Saccharomyces cerevisiae S288C: one gene and its partner. Changing the gene in region 1 together with any one later gene gives a genetic interaction. Each region holds a gene or a part of one and is shown on either strand. Other genes may lie near its edges. The genes, in order: PHO89 and PHO90.

The links.
Region 2: mutations in PHO89 (region 1) and PHO90 are lethal when combined (synthetic lethality), as found in Saccharomyces cerevisiae (2 studies listed by BioGRID, with this or other methods).

Annotation. Positions count from the first base shown.
Region 1 is NC_001134.8:796,600-800,530, forward strand, and holds PHO89 (Pho89p), read right to left. Parts: upstream 1,924-3,931; coding exon 199-1,923; downstream 1-198. Other genes in the region: TYC1 (Tyc1p), read right to left, coding at 3,524-3,643; transcription factor MAL33, read left to right, coding at 3,924-3,931. UniProt on the Saccharomyces cerevisiae protein: Sodium-phosphate symporter. Active in early growth phase.
Region 2 is NC_001142.9:58,906-62,836, reverse strand, and holds the start of PHO90 (SPX domain-containing inorganic phosphate transporter), read right to left. Parts: upstream 1,994-3,931; coding exon 1-1,993. Other genes in the region: MBB1 (Mbb1p), read left to right, coding at 2,655-2,981. UniProt on the Saccharomyces cerevisiae protein: Low-affinity phosphate transporter involved in the control of cellular phosphate levels.

The DNA of each region.
Region 1 (3,931 bases):
TATTTAATATGATGGAATTCATAAAAAAAAAAAATACACATAGCCATGCCAGGTAATTGCAGATCAACTGATAAATTAGAAAAAAATTAATGCATCTTTAAGGTTTTAAATTAGAAATGTTTTAACTTTAAAGTCACTGAGCAATAAAAGTTCTACCTAATGTTGTAAAACTGTATTCATAACCGAAACACATTATGATTATGTCATTTGGTATTCCACACCAAAGCGAGGAGCATTCAAAATGATACCATTTATGATACCGGCAATCAAACCAGCAATTGGTAAAGTTAAAAACCAACCAGAATAACACCAGGCTACCATTCTCCAATTAACTGATTTGAGATCCTTGTTACATAAACCAACAGCGACAATACCACCAACGGCGATCTGGGTTGTTGAGGTAGGAATACCTAATTGGGTAGCCATGACAGTAGTAATAGCAACAGCTAGTTCAATTGAAAAGCCTCTTGATGGCGACTGCAAAATCATCTTATTACCTAGATTTTTGATAATATTGTAACCATAAGTCCAGCAACCAATAACTAAGGCAACACCACCATAAGCCAGAACCCACACGGGAACTTCGGACTTTGCCCCAATAGTGTTAGTTTTCCAGATCACATACACAGCAGACAAAGGACCAGTAGCGTTGGCAACGTCATTAGCTCCATGAGCAAAAGACATAGTGGCTGCAGTAATGGCTTGGAGAACCGAATAGATATATTCTACTCTATTGTCGTAAAATTTAGATCTTTCGTACATTCCTTTCAGGTCACCAGATAACATATCTCTATCATTAACTTGAGCATGAATGACGTCTTGAGTCCAACCATGAGAGATTACTAACCAGAACAATAAGGGCCATTTTTTAGGTCCTTGCTTTAATAATGACCACCAATATTGTTTCGTTGACAACTTTGTTTCTGGTTCAGTTTCAGTTCTAACCAGGTCCACTTCCTGGATGTCTTCTTTGTTTTTGACGGAATCATTAGAATTACTCGCTGCCTTATTTTCTTCGTCTTCAACAGAAACAGTTGTTCCAAGATTTCTTCTGCCCTCGTAATAATCGATTGTTAATTGATGGCCTTCTGGCATTGGTGGGATATCATCAGTGGACTTAAAGTAAAAAGATGGACCTCTGAAAATATCAATCAACTTTAGTGTCCAATCTTGGTCCAAAACTTTTCTTCTGTAGAATGGGTAGAAAAAGATGAAGTAAACGATCGAAGCAATTGCACCTGTGAGAACAATAGATACGGCAGTTTCAGTTTCAGATAAATCGTCCAAGTGTAGGTTTGGAGAACCCTTCCAGACAATCAACATTGTTAAGATAGAGAAAGTGGCGAATACTAAAACACCAACCAGCAGTAAAGCATTCTTAATCGATCTTTCCAAAGACTTAACTTCAAGGACAGAAAACCTAGAAATTGAAAAAACTATAGCTGCGATCGCGCCTGCCAAAATCGGAGCAATGAACCATGACGCAATAATTTGAGAAACACCACTCCAACCCCAAACGACACCGTTAGCTCCACCGGCTGCAATCCCAGCGCCAATTGTACCACCAACAATGGAATGTGTAGTAGAAACTGGCATTCCGATTGCAGTAGCAAATGTTAACCAACAAGACGAGCCAATCAAAGCACTGGTCATAGTAAGCATTAAAACAGCGGGGTCGTTGGTAAAAATGGAGGAATCTATAATGTTGTTCTTGATAGTACCAGAAACTCTTGCGCCTGCCAAGACAGCACCCAAGAACTCACAGAGACCCGCCAAAACCATGGCTTGCCAGTATTTTAGAGATCTAGAAGAGATCGACGACGCGAATGAGTTCGCCACGTCGTTTGCCCCGATGTTAAAGGCATCCAAAAATGCAAATAACATGGCAATGGCAAAAATATAGTCAAATTGATGTAAAGCCATTTTTGCTTAATCTTTGTTTATATTGATTCGATTAGATACGCTCCAGTATTCTCACCTTTGATCTATGTCACTCATTCTATGACAATTCATGTAAAATAACCTCAATGTAAAGATCATCTTCAGCAGGTTTATATATAATTTTCTTCATATCGAAAACCGGGCTTAGTGACATGAATTGTTTGGAGATGTCCACCCAGTAGACATTGTAAAAAAAATCTGCTATTGACTGAGTTAATCTAATGATTTACATAATAGAAGGATCCAAAGTGGCTGTGACATCTAGTATTGATAGATTAGTATTATTACTATTTGTCTCCCACGTGCTGCATTGTCATATGCAATTTATTAAGATTACATAAACTCCTTTGTACGGTATATTCTTAAAGCCTTTCAATGACTCGGGCCAATTTTTAGCAATATTTCGACATTTAAGGGCCCACTAACAAATTAATGGCACAACGTGGGGATGACGAAAAAGCAGAAAAAGAAAAAAAAGGTCTATCGCACAGCCACACACCCTTGTGGTGAAGCCGTTTTGTGATCGGTGTGGCGCGATCTGTGAAATTTAAACTTTTTTGCGGGTGAAACCGAGATTTCTGAAACTAGATTTTCTGGCTTCGCCAAAGAAAGATGCATCGAATTAATGAAATTAAACGGATGTAAGGAATGAAATTATAACGATTCCGCTAATGTTCTTTACTGACGAGTGTCACTGAAGTACTTACTCGTGAACAAAAATTAACCTATATCAGTAATTTTGATATTGTTAAAAGTAGGTATCTCTATCAAAAGAGATTATAAGACCCATCGGCAAAACTCGAAATATCGTCTTGAGAAAATCATTATACAGTACATGGTGCAATTTTAAATGATTTTTAAATACTATTATATAATCGATACATTTAGTACACGCGAAGACAACGTAGTGTTGAGATTCAAAGAGGTTACAGTTGAATACGTGACAAAGCTGACGAGAGTACTGTGAATTCAACAAACCATAAATGGTCACTCCAAGTAACGGTATTGTGATTTCAACAGAAAACACAAGCATTGTGTTAGCGTGCTCGTAAAATATTATTTCAGCGGTGAAGCAGATATGCGTTAAAGGTGGGCTCGCTATTAAATCATGAACGAAAAAACAGTTATGTCGTTACTGGTGTGAGTCGATATTACGAAACCACTGGCAGGTAGATGGATAGAATGGGACTGATTGGAACAGCGCAAGTTTTTTTCCGTGGTCGGAATTCTCGTAGTAATATTGGAAAATAGTTGGAAGAAAAATTGTGTGAAAAAATACATGCTGAAATAGTCAAACGAAGAGAGGTGAAGAATAGATAAAGCTGTTGAGAGGCAAGACAATGTTTTCAAGATGATCAGAAAAGGATACGGTCCAATATCTATTTATATTCATTGCCCTACCGTGGTATGTTAAAAAAATATGTTACATTTATTGCTCCCATTGGATTTTGCACAGGTGTGAAAGAGCTCAGTTGTCAAGATTTAGTCATTAAGAAGGGCCGCAGCAGCTTTTTGTATAATAGAGCGTCTTTTTTGTTTGTGAAAAAAATTTTATGGTGAGATATTGTTCGATTCTACGAAGTCATTTTACTAGTTTATGGACTCTGATATAAGACAGAGTTGACAAGGAAATGGTGCCGTGATTGTTTCCGTGTACAGCTTTTGAGAACTTCCTTGAAAACCAATCATCTAGCACTTTCATTTCTGGGGAAAAACCTGGAACCAAATCTTGAAAAATAAATTCCCCAGAAGTTTTCCTTATTCCGTGTTCTAATCTTCTCGTTCACTTTGCAGTGACATTCCACGGCCATGCGCAATTTACCCCGCCCCCGGATTTTATTGTCCGTACCGCCATTTTTCAATAGATTAAAAAGGAACAAAAAATCATTTCAGAAGGTTTCTTTCTCGGGAAAACACTAGAGTGTAAATATTGAATATCAAACATCGAACGAGAGCATCTTGAAGATATTTATGTTCTAAATATGACTTT
Region 2 (3,931 bases), on another chromosome or scaffold:
CTGTGAATTTCGTCTTAATAGGCTTAAATTTTTCCAATTTGGTCTTATTCATCTTGAAAGTAGTGAACAATAAAATCCAAACCAAAAGCATGGCCAGGATACCAGATGGCAATGCAACAGCAAAGAATTGGCCCCAGCCAATACCATAGGGTTTCAAGTACGACATGGAAATGATGTTTTGAGGTGAAGAGATTGGTGAAGACATACCACCGATATTTGCAGCCAACGCTACACCTAACACCAATGCTTGCGCAAATGGGCTATCTGCATCCATGGCATCCAATAGGGGAGATAACAACGAATATGTTAGAACAGGTGCTGCGACATTGGAAATCCACATTGATAGGAAGAACACGACACACATTGCCATTAAAAGAACGTTTCTGGGTTTACAACCAGCGAAGGCCAACAACCACGAGGCAAGAACTTTGGCGATGTTATATTGTGCAAGTACTTCACCCAAAGTAAAACCTGCCAGCAGAATCATAATTGTAGAAGACCACATGGCGGCCAAAATTTCTGATGAAGCGCTTGCAGCACTCATTATAGCCCCGTCGGAGGTTTTTAGGACTTTGAAAAGGACTACAAGTAGTGGTACAAGGAATGCTGTAATGTGTAATGGGATGGCCTCACTAGCCCACAAAAAGGCGACACACTCGACAAGGGCCATGCAGCGGTGCTGAGCAGCGTCGTTGAAGGTCTTTATTCCTAACAAGAGTCCAGTGACTAGAATAATAAAGTAAATCTTGTATGCTTTCTTGGTGAAAAATAATTTCGGTAGTGCAACGTTGTTTATACTAGTGAATTTTAAGTTTATCGGTCTGGGTAGTGGCCATCTGTAGTATTCCAAATCTAACTTGCCTACCAGCTTATTTGCATTATATTCTGTTTCCTTTGGTGTCAACTCGTCAGCTTGCGATAGCAGTCCCAACATGTCTTTCCAAGTGTTACTTCTTTCCCAAACAATGTGGTCATGCAGGTAGGATTTCAACTCTTGCTTGCTATGCGAGATATTATGAGGCCGGTCAGTGATGCGCGCATAAAATGTGACTAGCTGGGAAATTTTGGAATTTAGCAATTCGATCGTTTCTGCCTGGAATGCATATGTGTCTTTGAAAAACTGCTCCGATTCGATCAGTTCGGTTCTTGTATTCAAGTGAAGAACTTTGTCTGATTTCTTTGTAATTTTTGCAAACCCAATGCGGTTCAATTCGATGAACGACTTCAACTGGCAAAGATCGATATATAGGTTTACGATCGACTTCTTCAACAGCGATTTTTTCTGAGACTTAATGTTATACTGCGAATGATGCAGCAAAGCAGTATTATCTTCAATATTAGATTGATCATCGTAAAATTCGTCGTCGTCTTCGTCATCATCCAAGTCTAGTGGGGGAACTTCGTCATTTGTGCTGGCAATCGGTTCGTTAAACAGAGTATCATCGTCGATATCGTATTCTATAACTCCGATTTTCTTCAGGTCCTTCACCAGCGCGTCAAATTTGTCGTAGAACTTCGCTTCTGTCCTCTTATAAAAATCATCTACTTTCTGTTTTTCAGCTGTTAAATCACCAACAAACGTATCATAAGTGTCTAATTGCAGATTTTCGTTGGCCGTGGAGGAGACGGACGATGCGGAAGACGACCTTCTTTTGTAAAATATCTTTTCCTTCATTCTTCTGAAAGGAGAAGGTTTGGCAGCGACCGTCTGAGCAGTAGGCAACTCTCGCAACTCGATGGTTTCCTCAACGATGCCTGCATCTTTGTTCATACCGGAAGACGTATCTTCCTTCGCATTTTTAAAAGAAAACTTGTTTTTGAACCTATCTGTAATGTTAGAGCTCTTTCCTGCGCCAAATCCTTCTTCGTTATCACCAACCTGAAGTTCATCTGTTTGTAGCGTGTAAATAAGATTTTTCAGCTCGCTGTAGTCCATATAATGGTTTTGCCATTCTGGGACAGCATTGTACTTCAAGAAGTGTGAAAATCTCATGATCCTGTACCAGCTACCACTTACTCGTTTATCCTAAAAACAACTTTATTGGCCGGATGACATCGAAGTGAACAGTGTTCTTTATATCGATGAATCAAAATTTTTCAGTGAGCCATTCATTCTTCGAGAAGCAGCGCAAAAAAAAACAAAAAAAAAAAAAACGGCTGTAGCTGCGGCGATATTGTGAGCGCCCCGCTTTAGGGCGACTTTACCCATAGTAAAAAGGGAAGACAATAACGAAATAAGAAGAGAAGAGAACCGTGGTTTCTCTGTTGCTTAGGATCATATACGCCTACAGCAAGGCACCTCTTTATGCGTATGCAGTCATACAAGGAGTGTGGAAATGCAGCACAGATGGCCTTCGCTGCTTGCCAGGCTGCCATTTTTCTTGGCTGCTGCCGCTACTACTGATTTTCTTACCTCTGCTAGAAACCAGTGGAAATGATTTATTCACAATCTAGCACCATGCAACATACATCCAAATCAGTGGAAATACGACATTATTAGCCGGCCCTTTACGTGCCAAAGGTAATAACAGTGAACGGGAGATGGGAAGCTTAATGCTGTTACCCGCTATCGGTTGTTGCTATGTAAACCAAATATAAATGCAAGCCAAAAAAAAAGGGTAACATAAGGTTAAGTAGGAGAAGGGAGATATTGAATGTATAAGGTGTCAGCATGTGGGGTGAGGATAATGAGTGGCATATCAGAAATTTGGATTGGCGAACTTAGAGATTACAAGTACGCTTTACGTCTTGATAGAGAAGAGTATCCAGCGGTGCTTGTTTACGAGTATGACTCGTCTTCTACTAGGAACTATCTTTTTACCATAAAGTACAGCGATCAGAGGCCGAACTGGCAGCTCATTACTCGTGACGCAGCTTTAACAGCTTACGACTTACTTAACAGAGGTGGCGAGTTCACAACTCTCAGCTTTCCGGGAGCCACTATTCACCGTTCAGTCAGTGAGCTGTCCCGATTGCATTAACAATATATAAGGGAGCAGAGCGAAACAATATGAGGTTCAGTAACATTTAAGGGTCGCTATTGAGTGTTTTGTGAGATATAAGTGAGTTTTGAGATAATTGTTGGGATTCCGTTGTTGATAGAGGCTACAATATTATGTATACAGAATATACTAGAAGTTCCCCTCGAGGATATAAGAATTCTCAAATGGAATCTATACATACTAATAATACGACTATTCCTCATTCCGTTTTCATATGTTTCGTTCCTATTACACTATCAATCCTTGCATTTTCAGCTTCCATTACATTTGATGACTGATTCTCAATCTTTATGTTATCTTTTTACACCACATGTGATAGTATACTACTAAACAGTATGCGGTAGCTATACTCTTTAATGAATGGGCGAAGCCTCCCTAGTATTTTATCTTGACATATCTAAAGGATTGCACAATATTGCGATTTGTTCTCCACAATGAAACCTTCTCAATAATTGTCCGATCATCCACCCATTTCTTAAGATGATAGACGATTCTTAGTCCAATAACATTGTATCCTTTACGTTCCGTAGAATATCATGTTGTTGATCCTCTTCTCAGCACAGTGCTTATTACTCTCACATCAACATCAAAAAAATTGCTTCATGATTAAAATGTTTGTGGAATATAACCGTTAAAATAGGTCAGGCAAATATAAAATAGAAGCTTCTATGGCCAAGTTGGTAAGGCGCCACACTAGTAATGTGGAGATCATCGGTTCAAATCCGATTGGAAGCATATATTTGATTTTTTAGCAATTAATTTTTTTTTTTTTTTTTTTTTCACGCTCTTGAGTCATCGCGAGTAAAATTCCACTGGAAAATTTTTTCAATATATACAAAGTTCCACAATATCATACAGCTCTCACATCGTAGATTATGTCAATAGATGGTATGGCATCAAACATGTATATAAACTAAAATATTTTCATC